Linked DNA regions of Mus musculus: all the other regions are reported to be linked to region 3. Evidence: microRNA targets listed by miRTarBase, many of them from high-throughput screens and not tested one by one. Region 3 holds a microRNA gene; each other region holds the end of a gene's coding sequence.

What was found. The annotated mature microRNA mmu-miR-709 reads GGAGGCAGAGGCAGGAGGA and lies in region 3 at 2,727-2,745, shown strand. An mRNA with a match to its seed (bases 2 to 7 or 8) in the 3' UTR can be bound and repressed. Matches are read on the target gene's strand: a 7mer-m8 pairs with bases 2 to 8, a 7mer-A1 pairs with bases 2 to 7 and ends in A, and an 8mer does both.
Region 1: miRTarBase lists Castor2 as a target of mmu-miR-709. Seed matches in the 3' UTR shown: 7mer-m8 at 3,193-3,199 and 7mer-m8 at 3,370-3,376.
Region 2: the mRNA of Zfp365 is a reported target of mmu-miR-709. Seed matches in the 3' UTR shown: 7mer-m8 at 3,689-3,695 and 7mer-m8 at 3,683-3,689.

What each region holds. Positions count from the first base shown.
Region 1 is chr5:134,137,539-134,142,235 of GRCm38, forward strand. It overlaps Castor2 (cytosolic arginine sensor for mTORC1 subunit 2), which reads left to right. Exons shown (of 9, transcript NM_030719.3): 7 at 1-8; 8 at 498-592; 9 at 691-4,244. The coding sequence ends at 756. Among named protein-coding and RNA genes, the nearest start is that of Rcc1l, 37 kb to the right of the region's middle.
Region 2 is chr10:67,884,687-67,889,383 of GRCm38, forward strand. Zfp365 (zinc finger protein 365) reads right to left here. Exons shown (of 5, transcript NM_178679.2): 5 at 1,419-4,405. The coding sequence ends at 4,144. Among named protein-coding and RNA genes, the nearest start is that of Zfp365, 26 kb to the right of the region's middle.
Region 3 is chr8:84,083,441-84,087,440 of GRCm38, forward strand. Mir709 (microRNA 709) reads left to right here and starts at 2,659; the gene lies at 2,659-2,746. It overlaps Rfx1 (regulatory factor X, 1 (influences HLA class II expression)), which reads left to right. Exons shown (of 21, transcript NM_009055.4): 7 at 642-734; 8 at 2,133-2,227.

The DNA.
Region 1 (4,697 bases), not on the chromosome of region 3:
GGGATTTGGTGAGCCTGTGGGGTCCAACACCTATATGCGGGAATCAGGAGGCGTTCCCAGGGTTCCTGGCCAGATCCACCCTATGTAGTGTGCTGGAGACTGAAACCCCATTTCTGACAGATCTCTTGCCAATGGTGTGACATATATATATGAAGGCCTCGGGAGACCAACAAGTAGACTTTACCATAGGGCTCTTAACCCATCCTGCAAGCTGAAAAATACAGTGGGGCTGGGGGTGTGGCTCAGCAGTAGAGCACCTGCCTAGAATCCCCCAGGGAGGGGCTGGGGGGCGTGGCTCCATGGTAGAGCCCCTGCCTAGAATCCCCCAGGGAGGGGCTGGGGGCGTGGCTCAGCAGTAGAGCACCTGCCTAGAATCCCCCAGGGAGGGGCTGGGGGCGTGGCTCAGTGGTAGAGCCCCTGCCTAGAATCCCCCAGTGAGGGGCTGGGGGCGTGGCTCTGTGGTAGAGCTCCTTCTCTGAGCACCTGTGTTTCCCTAGATGAATGTGGGATTGTAGCCCAGATCTCAGAGCCCTTGGCAGCTGCAGACATCCCAGCATATTACATCAGTACTTTCAAGTTCGACCATGCATTGGTAAGTGGCCCCTGGGGACAGGTGGGGACTGTATGGGTAGGGACCAGGTACCTGGGCTCACACACTTTTTTTTCCCCCCTTTGCGTCCTGCCCTGCAGGTTCCAGAAGAGAATATCAGTGGGGTTATCCATGCCCTGAAGGTCAGTCAAGCAGGGAAGCATTAGACTCGTCTCTGGGCTCCTCCCTGCCACAGCCCACCTGGGCCTTTCCCCCCACGAAGGTTATTCTTGCAGTATTTCCCTATGGACTGAAAGCTCGGCCCCAGGACCTTTAAGGAAGGGGCCTCTGGGACACTCCCCTGATTCCTGACTCCTCCAGGCCTGGGCCTGAGCTAGGGCCACCCCCACATCCTCCTCCTGCCTTCCAGAGTCCCCAGCCTTTTCAGTAATGACTCTGTTTCCGCTCGGTGGGGGTGTGCCCATCTTCCTCCCCCAAGTTCCACCCCAGAAAGCGGTCTCCGAGGCCCAGGACACTTGGGACCAGCCCAAGGCCTCACCTACAGCCCGCAGCAAACACCAAAGGAAGCTGGCACCTCCTGTGAGACACTGGGATCGGGGTCCTGATGCACCTAGGGACATCTTAGGGAGTTGGTGGAGCAAGATTGGGGGTACAGAGCTGGGGAAGCCCCCGTGAGCCCCCCCTTGAATTGATGGTTATGGTTGCTGCTCTAGTTTTAGAGGTTCAGGGGCTGGTTCCCTCAGAATGGAGGTCAGCAGGCCACCCTCAGGTCATAATGGCCAGTGAGCCTCAGACAGTAGCAGTGGGGTTCCTACTCCTAAGCTGGGGAGGAAAGGCAAGACTCTAGACCCCCACCTGCTGACCACACAGGGCCTGTGTCGATTTCCTCTACAACTGCCAAGAGGGGCCCTGGGCCAAACTTCCCCCCAGAGCACTTGTCCCTGGAGGGGATCCCAGGACACCCCCTCTCCCACCAGCCTAGAGCGCCAGCTTCTATCTGTCCTTTGTTCGCTCTCCCCAGACCCATCATGGGCAAGCAAAGACTCGGCTTCTTTCAGCGGTGGGCATCCCCACCTGCCCAGGCCTAGGGTGCCTTGGGCCATGTCCCACCTCCCCAGCTGTCACTTAGACCAGCCTAGAGAATTCCCCATCATCCTCTCTGCCCCACTTTTAGGGGATAAAGAGGCCTCAGCCCCCACAGCTCATATACCTGCCCGAAATACACACAGCAATCTGTGGTCACGGTGATAACCTGGGAGGCAGCTATCTTCAAGCATTTGTAGAGAGACATTACCCCTGCGGGGTTTCTTCTTCGTTGTCTTTGCATACAGGTGGCTGGGGAAAGAGTAGTTTTGTTTGGAGGGGATGGAGCCTGTTTGAGTCTTATTAGGGTACCCAGTGTTCAGTGAGACTTAGCACCCTGTGTCTCTGGGGACAGACACAAATGCAAAGATGTATCGTAAGACTCTTGGCCGTGTCTTCTGAGGAGGGCTAGTGGGAGCAGAGCTCTGATACAAGACACCAGGACCCCATAGCACCCCCTGCAGGGCATGCCAGTGTTCCACCACCTTCATATGGCGCTGTTAGCTGGGACTGCGGGGGGTCCACCAGACTTTTTGCTCTTGGGGTGTTTTGTCGAGCCTGTGCTTCACGATCTCCAACAACAAGGTCAGAGGAGGGAATGTTTATCTACCCCTGCACAGTCTTGTACAAACTGTGTTTCCCTCCTCTCTGGGCCACAGAAACACACCCAGAGGAACTCTTCTAGAATCATGTAGAAGCCAGAACCCAGCATGTTAATCAAAATCAACTCTGGTTGGTTTTGGTTTTGGTTTTTTTTTTTTGTTGTTGTTGTTGTTGTTGTTGTTTTTTAACTCCTTTTGCACAAAACCCTTAAAACCAAATCTTATTATTTTCTGGTCCCGAATGGGAAATGGCCAAGTGGGCGGGGCTTTATAGTGAGGCCCCTGAGTCCCCTTTTTCTCTCTCTGGAAGGCCTTGATTGTCCGGGGTACACATCTCCAGAACCCCTCCTGTCTCCCTTTCCAGTCATCCCTTCCCACCATATAAGTGTGCTGGCCCCCTGCCCCCTGTGTGGACCCCTAGACTTGCTAGGATGAGACTGTGTATTGTACACACCTATAAATACATGTTTTATGTTGATAGAGATATATTCTGTAAATAGCATATATACTTGAGCAATATATATGTTAATATATTCTGTGTGCGCAGGACACAGGCAAGGGCCCCCACCTCATGTGCGCACACTCGGGGACATTTTGAGCCACCGTATATTTTTAATTCAAATACGTAGGCAATACGATGAGTGAAAAAGCCCTGGGGTCCTGAGGCCAGCCTGGAGGGGAGACAGAACCAACAACCTACCGCAAGTGGGGCAGGCTGAGAGGGCCAGTGTAGTCTGCTTCATAGCTACTGTACCCCCATTTCCACAGCCTAGAGCTCTGGATGCCTTCATTTTATTTGGGAGGGGGGGCACTGATCCAGAGGAGGGATTGGGTTTTTTTGTTGTTGTTGTTGTTGTTGGGTTTTGTTTTTGGTTTTGGTTTTTGGTTTTGTTAACAGTGGCTCCCTCCCTCAGGGTTACCCCAAAACCTTTGTCTGGTAAACCCATCTGTCCCAGCCTGCCTCCCTCCCAAGTCCCTTCTCCATAGAAAGCTATAGACCTGGCATCTTACCTGACTTTTGTTGTTATTGTTGTATTGTTTTCTTGAGGCAGGGTCTCTTTAGATAGCCCTGGCTATCCTGGAACTCTCTTTGTAGACCAGGCTGGCCTTGAATTGATAGGACTCTACCCGCCTCTGCCTCCCGAGTGCTGGGATTAAAGGTGTGTGCCATCACACCTAAGTTTTTTTTTAATATTATTATTAATATTATTATTCCTGCAAGCTTAGGAATCTCAGGTTCTCTTCCCTGCTCTCTTCCTAGGACTGACTCCATAAGGACCCAGACCACCACACATACTCCCACGGTTGTGTGTCCAGAAAGGGCTGGGCCTGGCTTCTGCCGGCCAACCTTTTAAGGGACCGCACTGCTGTTCAGCTGCAGTGGGTCCTTGGAGGAAGCTAGCTCTGTTTCTGTGTTCTGTGGGTAGATCAGCATGGTGTGGTGTCTTCAGTTCTGGGGGATGTGACAGTCCCTCTACTAGTAGAGGCCCTCTACTCTCGTGTTTTTTAGCACTGTCTGCTCTCTTTTCAGCATCTTCTGGTTTTATGAATATGAAGGATGACTCCACCCCCTGCTAACCCAGCCTCAGAGGGGACCCAAGTGTCACACCACTCCGAAGTCAGGGTTCCCTAGAGGATTTCTTTTGTGTTTTTCTGCAGTGCTGAGGAATGTAGGCAGGGCCTCCTGCGTGAGAGGCAAGTACTCCACAGAGCCACTCCCAGATCCTCGCAGCAGAGTCTCTCGGCTCACAGGGAGGGTAGGAGATTGGGCTGTTAAGAAGGTAAAGTTTTAGGAACCGCAGTCAGGAACCCCCTGGGTTGGGCTACCAAGTCCCGAACTCTGGGGGTACTCTATCAGGAAAGCGCACTTCAGGAGTTGCTCAGTGGATAGGGTGTTCCCATAGCATTATTCCCAGCACTCGGGAGATGAAAGCAGTCAGATCACAAGTTAAGGTCAGCCTGGGCTACATGAGGCTCTGTCTCAAAAAAAAAAAAAAAAAAAAAAAAAAGAAAGAAAAGAAAAGAAAAGAAAAGAAAAAAAGAAAGAAAACGTCAAATATCACCTGTACAGACTAATGAGACCATCCAGGGTCCCCATCCGCAAAGCACCCCTTCTCCTTTGGCTCAGCCCCATAGCCTGGGGCAAACCTGCTTTCCAAGAAATCTACTTCTCCCCCCAGACCCTAGCAGCATCACCAACTATATACTCCAGGGTCCTAAAGACACCCCCCCTCCCACATCCATAGAGGTATGCAGCCCTGCCCCCATAAAGCCCCCTTATCTAAGACTCCTAAGCATCAACACTCACCCTGTCCCACCATCTGCAGGTAACAGGTTCCTGGTGTGGTGGGACGGACCCGGGGACCTGGTTCTGTCTGCTGCCCATTGGGCAGTGTTGCTGGAGCAACCTGCTTAGACTAGTGAGGTCCCCAATGATGGAAAGACCTGTAAGAGTGAAGAGA
Region 2 (4,697 bases), not on the chromosome of region 3:
CTGACAGCCCATGTCTGTTTCATTTTCCCAACAAATCATTCATCAAGTTTTGTGTTTTGAGAAGAGTAAGTTTGTCAGTGTTTTCTCTTGTGGCACATGGTCCTAGCTAAGAAATGCTAACTCCAAGTCACCAAGGTTTGTGCCACCTCTAAAGTTTATCATTTAAAGGCCTAAATTGTGACGTCGGGGCTTGTTGTGAGTTCTGCACAGTGTCGAGTTCATTGTGTGCTCTGTGGATATTCAGTGTTGCAAGCGTCTGCAGGGTTTTGTCCGTCCTTCTTTCCTCCCTCCCTTCCTTCCCATCTAAATTCTTTCTTTCTCTCTGTTCCCATAGCCTCTCATGTATCCCTGGGTTGGCCTTGAACTTGCGATGTGTCTGAGGATGACCTTGAATTCTTGATCCACCTTCTAAGTACTGAGATTACAGACTTTCTTTGTAGCTGAAGTGTTGGGTGTTGTTATGTCATTTCTTTATGTATGGATAGAGCACTTGGATCATCTCAGCTCCTCTGTGACTTATTACTCTTTCTCCCCCGTTTCTTTGTACATCTCTTGGCACCTCTCTCTTGCTCCCATGCCTTCCTATTTCCCCTTAGCTTCTGCAAATGAGACAAAGCATGTGAATGCCTGACAGAGTGAAATGGATGCAACTAATGATCCCCATGGTGAGGTCGTGAGTCCTCTAGAGGAATCCAATTCTTAACATTGCCCATTGTTAGTGTTTGAAATCTGCCCAAGCCTCCTGTTCAGGATTGAGCATGCATGTCATCCTTGGAATTCAAGACACTGAGACTAACATTTTCAACTGCTGGGGGATAATCATGAATATCATGCTAGTGCTTAGACCTGTAACATGGAAAACCCACTAGCCTAACACTAGTTAAGTATTGGGAGCAGAGGCAGGCCATCTCACCAATAACTTGGAAACAACTGGAATTCACTGAGTTCCCATAGTTCCATGCTTCGTAGAAAACCAGCGGTTGAGTGCTTCCTCTCTCTGAAGCCTGCTCTTAGTACAGCGGCAAGGATGTGCAGCAGCCACAGGCTGGGGTGGGTACGCTAGGACATCTGTTTATGGTTTCCGCTAAGAGTTGACAAGATAAAACTAAAGTGTTGGGAAAATTACACATAGTCATCGAGGAAGACAGGGAAGATGTGGAGAGGGCTTTTAATGAGCCTCCCTGGGTGTGAACATATGTTAAAAAGAATATTTAGATAGAGGTATTAGAAAGTATGAAAATAAATGAGCCAGTTTTCCTGAAGGCTGATTGGTGTACAAGGGCATGCTCATTATGTACAAAAGGAACAGTTTATTTGTGAAGCATAGTTTTGTTTGCTGTTAGTGGAGCAATAAATGTGACTTTCAAAAAAAAACAAAAAAAACAAAACACTTGACCTAGAAGGAACAGACCAAAGTGTTAGTCAGAAATATAGCTTTATTATCATAGTATTTCATAATCTAAAAACTTCTCTTTTTTTCCATCCTGGGAACAGAAATACTCTAACATCTATACATTTGACTGGCCCTGCAGCATACTGGAATACAGCTTCCAAGCAAGCCGCACTTACACATAAGAATCTGTTATAGTTTGGGGAGAGGGTGGGGCATTGACACAACAGTTCAAATGAAGATCTTTTCCCCTTACAAAATAAATAATAAAATTCAATGTATACCTCAGTTAATTCTTGATAACAGTTTCCCAGAAACTTTGGTGATTTGTTTAAAAAGTCACTGCTTCAAATCTAAGGTCGATTGCCTGAGGGGACTCGAGAGCGTGTGTGTGTGTGTGTGTGTGTGTGTGTGTGTGTGTAGATGACATATAAATGGAACTTAGCCATGATGTAGGTGAATGATCCTTCCGTTAAAACAGCTCCCATACTTCAACAGCAGATTTATGTCTTTAGGGAGTCTGTTATACTTAACACATTTCCTTCTATGGGGATCAGAATGCAGCTGAAACTTAAAAGATGTTTTTAAATTCAGTAAGTCAATCTTAAAACTATTTGTCTTGAGTAGTGTATATAGAGTACAAGGTTATATCCAAAGACGAGCATGGACCACTGTCAAAGAGGGCTGTCCTTCCTTCTAGGCTCTTTAAAGGAACACCAAAAAATGACTTACTTTAAATAAAAGAGGAAACAAATCTGTCCATATGTTTGTCAAAGCTGAGGTGTTGTTACTGCACACACTACAGGACGGGGAGCATGCGATACAATCAGCAAGTCACGTTTTCAGTGTGGACAAAGCAAAAGTGCAACCATGATATAAACATCAACAATAAATAACTATGGCGGAGATTTCTTATCCAGATAAATAATAACATTACAGCTTTCACAACGTCAGCCTCAACAGTGATATGATACGCAGCTGTTTCTTTCCCCAACTTGGAATCTGCCTGCACACCACACAGAAGATCTGCTCCCATAGGCCGGAAGTCAGTGAAGACTCACACAGAAACCTCTCCTCCACAAGGACAGGTTCAAAGTATCTGAAAACGATGAGTTATCCTTTTCAATTTATTGTCATCCCAAGGAACTGCTTTATTATCTATTTTAATGTAATACGCTAATCAGATGCTTGTTGCAATAACAATAATTCTACAAGTGTTAGTCAGGTTACAATCTTAATTTTTAAAGTAAAGGAATTTGATTTACAGAAACAAAGCTATATAGTTTTAAAGCCACCCACCACAAACACACACTTTCTCCAGGAGTATTTAAAAATAAACTATTCATATACTTGACATATATATAGCGTATGTAATATATATATGTATATACTTATGGACAACATTATTCCTGTTTTAGAAAGAATGTCAGCACAAATACACTCTAGAGACCTGATGGTGTTGCTTAATTTAAGGAAAAAAATATATAAATTCCTTCTGGAAGAAAATTTTAAACCAGGAGATTTTTTAAAGTTTTTTTTTTCTTTAATAGGAACAGTGTCATTTGGGGAGGGTAGTATCACAGGTCATAGTCCGCATGCATTCTTTATCATCTGAAATTACAATAGAATGCACTGCACAATGAACACCCCAGAGGTGTGGCTGGGAGGGGGTCAAGTGTACACCGGCTAAAGAAGCAAGAGGAGGCAAAGTGAGCTTCCGGGTTGAAACGGAAGTTAGCAAAGAGCATGCTCACAGGTAACCGGTAGCAAGCCTTCCAGAGTAGCCGGTGGGAGAAGAATGGTGGGCGTGCCCACAGCATGGCCAGGATGGCCATGGTACACTGAGTGTGCCCCCCTCTAGCACATCAAGCATTTTGGGCACCACATCAAAGATGCTGCTGACCCCAAGGGTTTTAGCAGCTATCTCTGCAGAGGCCGGTAGACAGCTCTTGGGGGTGCAGCGTGCTTTGCCAAAGAAGGCAGGAGGGGTGCACCCAGACCTGAATAAATAGGCCCTGGAGGACCCAGATGTGAATCAAACAACCCCAAAAGCCACCTGGCAAAGTGAGAACCGAGGTCTAACTAAACACGGCCTGTAACCCACACGGAGATTAAAATCTTGATTAACCAGAATCCTCAAGGGTAACAGGAACGAACCTCTACCGTAGAGACTTTCAAATGTATCAAAGGGCGTCTACACGCAAACCACAAAAGCTCTGCTTTTATTTCACTGCTCTTGGTAAGAACTTTACACTCCCAGCTGGGTGTGGTAGCGCACACCTGTGCACTCAGGAGGCAGAGGCAGGAGGATTGCTGCAAGTTCAAAGCTAGCCTGGTATATATATATAAAGCTCCAAGCCAGCCAGGACTACATAGCATAACAAGGCCCTGTCTCAGAACACCAAAAAATACTATTTTTCTTTAAAGTAGAAGAACTTCACAGTCACATTCCTTGCCTCATAATTCAGAGAGCAGTGGATACCAGAGTCTGGCATCTTGTGAGGCCCACGTACTAATGGGCACTGGGTAGAGGAACCCCGGGTGCCAGGTCTGCGAGAAACTGGCCCAATTATTTAAGAAGTTACCCGCTCGTGTTTCCTGAAACCGGTTGTTTTACATTCTGGTTAATCAGAGTGACCCTGTTTGTTGTGTTCCCTGCGTTCCTACGGCTACATGTCCAAAAGGACAACGCTGTTGGACTCTGGAACATCATTTGGTAAGCCCCGTGGTGATGCTTCCGAGCCACCCAAGCTCTAGATGATATTCACGATTGCTGTAGGCTTCTTTTTAGCCATTTTGGGCCTGAAATTCCCTTTCCGGCTCAGACCCAGGTGTTCCCCTTTCTTGGCTGGTCTGAAGAATTCTCTTGGAGACTCAGCCGGTTCGTGAATGGCCTTGGCGGGCTGCATCCCGGCTCGCTCATCCTTGGCTTTCTTCAGGTAGCTTCTCCCCTTCAGATGGAAATGGGCCCTCATCTCAGGATGGTTGCAAACAGAATGCTGGTGCCCTCGGCTTCTATAGGGGTCAGGAAGAGAAACGGAGAAAAGAGAGAGGCTTGTTAAAAGAAAGACAACTAACTACTCCTGTCTACCATGGCGACCATGCTCCCACACAGATAAGTCGCAGATACTAGAATTTCAATTCATGACAGTTCCTGTGACTGTGTCATGCTAAATCTAAGAGAAATATTACTAGCGCTACTACCAGTGATAAAACAGGTACAGAAAAAGTCAATGCTACCAGGATGATGTGCACGAATACAGGATGAACCCAGCTCTTAACTCTTCAGGCAAACACCAGGAGACTC
Region 3 (4,000 bases):
CCATTCTCACGATGTGCTCAACCTTCCAAAGGAGACTGAGTTTCCTAATACCATCACAGTGGCCTGAGCAGGCCAAGATGCAAGGATGGTCTTGTATCTCCTTGTTAACTGCTTAACTCTTGGGATTCTTGGCTTTTCAAGAAAACAAGACATGGTTTGTGTGTCCTCATAGCCTCAACTACAAGAGACTCAGGCCAGATCCCCACTTCAAGGCCAGTCTGGACAATGTAGTGAAACCCTGATTCAGAATAAAAATTGAAAAACAGTGCTGGGGTGTAGATTAGTGGTAGAGAGCTGGCCTAGCATGCATAAGACCCCAGGTTCCCCAGTACCAGGCTGAAAACCTCAAATAGGCCCGAGCTGTAGGCTCTTCCCTAGAGGAAATGGGAACCTTCTAATTCAAAGGATCCACAGGTATTCCCTTCCCGTGCAAGAACCACTCTGAACCTCCAGATGGCAGAGGCAGGCAGTAAGAGACCTGGAAGGCCTGTATTAACTGGACCCCACACGGAAAGGCTGCTCTCTGTCTGAAGAATGACAGCCTTTCCCAAGACGGCTGTTCTGAGCATGCATGGGACAGGCTGCCCTAGTTGCCATGGTTACCATACTCGAACTTGCCTCTCCTTGCCCTTCTTTGCCAGAGGTCAGTAGTCCAGGCCACTCCACAGACCAAAGCTGGCCCGGTGCAGCAGCTGACTGTGCAGGGACTGCAGCCAGTTCACGTTGCTCAAGAGGTGCGTGTCCTATCTGTCTATGTCGGGGCAATCAGACTAGTCCTGGGCTGTGGCTGGAGGTACAGGCACCTAATCCAGAGGGAGGAATGGAGCCAGCTGGGGACCCTAAAGGGCAGACAGTGGGGGCAATTGAGGTTTGAAGCCCTGCAGAAGTGAGGTTTCACTCTAGCCCTCGGCTTCAGACTTCATCCTGAATCCGTCCCCATCCCAGCACCTGACCACTCAGGACACAGGTCTTGTTGAAAGAGGGCTGGATTCGAATTCCGCTTCTTTCTGATAGTGCCCAGTTCGTTCCTCTCTTCTCTAAGGAGATCCCAAGTGGGGAATCTTCATTCGGGTGGCCATGAGTTCACAGCCGGGTGATACCCCAGTGTCTCTGTTTGTCCTCCAGAGCTCAGGCAGTCAGTTTCCCGCTAGGAAGGCAGAGCAGCAAGAAACCCGGCCCACGCCGCCGCCGGAGCCGCCGCCCCGGCCTCCCGGGCCTGGGCCAGTGTGCTGCGGCGAGGTCTTGCAGCTAGGCAGCGAGCAGCAGCCGCTCCATTACGAGCCGGGTGTGGAGCAGTGGGTGGAGCTGGTGGGCATGCTGCCCCCACACCTGCTCCTGCCGCAGCAGAGGGTGGTCTTCGAGCCACAGCGGGGGCTCTCGGCCCGAGCCAGCCCCGACCTGAGGGTCAGGATCCACAGAATGCCCCAGGTGCTAGTGTTCGGCACCGCCCTCAAAGTAGGTGGCGGCGGACAGCGGAGGCACGGCAGGGGGCGGAGGGCGGGCAGGGGAAGGGCATTCAGCCCAGCAAGCCGCTTTGCCTCGCCTTCAAGTCCAGGCTCCCAGGCTTCGCCCCTGCAACCCAAGGCGGGTGGGGTGAGATGTCTTTACCCTGTCCCCCAAAGTGCTGCCAGTCATTCTTGTTCTGCCTCAGGGACTGGGTCCCAGACACGGCTCCTGCAAACCAGGGTTGGGGGTGGAGGTAGGCTATCCAGTACCTGCCCCTAAGGTGTTGTCAGTTGTTTCTAGTTGTTCTATCAACTGATCCCTCTTCAGGCTCCACCCCTAATCTGCTTGGGAAACCTTTTTGGTTTCCAGAAAACCCCCAGGCCCGGTTTTTAGATTGCAAACCCACCTCTCAAGCCCATTGCAGAATTCTGTCTGGTATCCCCTCCTTTGCTCATAAGCCTTAGAAACCTCTTTGCCAAAGCAGAGAATCCCAGCACCTCCTGTTTTCCAGCCACAACTGAGACCTGGCCCCACCTAAGCCTCCTACCTAAGCCTCCCACCTCTGGCCCATGTTGTTCAGAAAACCATGATGTGCAACCTTCTAGATGGGGATGTATGTGGGCATCAGTGAACCCGTGGGTGGTGGTCAGCCCTGACCCATGACCCTGCTTTTCCTCCTGCTTCAGGTACAGCAACTCCCTCAGGTGCCTGTCCCACACGTGTATTCCAGCCAGGTGCAGTACGTGGAAGGTGGCGATGCCAGCTACACAGCCAGCGCCATGTAAGTGGGCAGAGGGTGGAAGGAGGGCTCAGATGTGGTTAGGGCCACAATTCTAACTCCCAGCTGGCCCCCAAGGCTCAGGTGATAGCCCCACACCTGTGGGGTGCCAGGAATATAGGCAGCTGGTAGCAGAAGAGACACTGGCCCATTGGGAAGGCACCTCCACAAATTAGGAGCTGTGCAGTTAGATGGATCTGGATTTTAGGCAGGAAAAGGGGAAAGAAAAAGCATACATATATGTATTTATACATACATTTTTACAACATAAACTTTTTTTGAGACAATGTCTCTCTGTATAGCCCTCACTGCCCTGGAACTTGATCTGTAGACCAGGGTAGCCTTGAACTCAGAGATTTGCCTGACACTTCCTCTCTCGTGCTGGAACCACAGGTTCTCAATCTGACCCTCAGTGTCCCACAGAGTAATTAGTGTGTCCCGTTTCTCTGCTTCTACTCAGAAGTGCTCTGAGCATAGAACTGTCCTGTTTGAGCAGCACTGGGGAGGCAGAGGCAGGAGGATTGTCTTTTGTTATATTGACTTATGTGTGGGGAGAGTGCATGTGCTGTGGTGCAGGTGGAGATCAGAGAACAACCTAGAGGAGTCCGTTTTCTCTCTCCTTTACACAGGTTGCAGGGGCAAATCCAGTTCCTCGGGCTTGCATATTCTGTCTTACAATTTTTCTTGGGGGTTAGGGAGATAAATCAGTAAATGGCTTGCTTCTTGCTTATCAGACCTGAGAAGCAAGGTCATGACCTGAGGTCAGAACTCAAGTACTAGGTAAGAGGTTCATGTGGTGAGTCTCTGACCCCAGAGCCACCTTGCTGGCCCTCGTGTGTGTGTGTGTGTGTGTGTGTGTGTGTGTGTGTGTGTGTGTGTGTGTGTGTGTGTGTGTGTATACACATGTGTTCGAGTGTGTGCATGGGATGATGGGGGGGGGTTGTATGCACCATGTATTGAGCGTAGTGCCAATGCTAACACTGGAGTCTGTTTGCTGTGTGGCTTTGGGGATCAACCCCAGGTCTTCGGTCTTGATGGCAAACATCCCCACCCACTGAGCCACCTGCAAGGCTCAAGTTTTCCTGCTTTAATCACTGTCACATTGGGAGGGCTCAAAGAGCAAAAGTGAGAGGTGGCCCTGCCTGTCCCCTCCCCACAGAGAGCCTTCTGCCTACACACAGGGTGGTCTTTTCCTCATCCCAACCTCTCGTTTCTGGCTGTCCATCGGTACCCAGTGGAGGACTCAAGGCAATCATGTTGCGTCTCCTCTTCCTGCCTCACCCCCTCTAGTCTGCAGCCTGCAGAGATGGGCCCAAATGTTAGGGTGGCTTGCTTGCTACAGTTGCCCCTCTTAGATCTGCGGCTTATTACCCTATGCGGCACTCAGGACATATTCTGAGTTGGAGGGGCAGCTCCCTGCCAGGAAGAGGTAGCCAAGGCGGCCCCTCTGCCTACCCTGCAGTCCTTTGTACTTTGCCTTCCCTCCTGTATCTCCCTTCCCTGGACTGAGAACTGTTTGTCGTTGTTGCCGAGGAAGTACGTTCTGCATTCTGGACCCTGTCTTGTTTTCTCCTCTTCTGCAGTAAGGAAATTGATTCCTGTGCTGGAGTGCAGTGGTTCAGTACCAGTGAGTGCTGTGGCTCAGTACCAGTGAGGAGAGTGATTCCTGTGCTGGAGTGCTGTGGCTCAGTGCCCAGCGAGGGCTGGTTCAATGGCTCAGCAGTGCTTGCTGCCGGGCTTTACAGTCTGAGTTCAGTCTCCAGGACCCACAGTGGA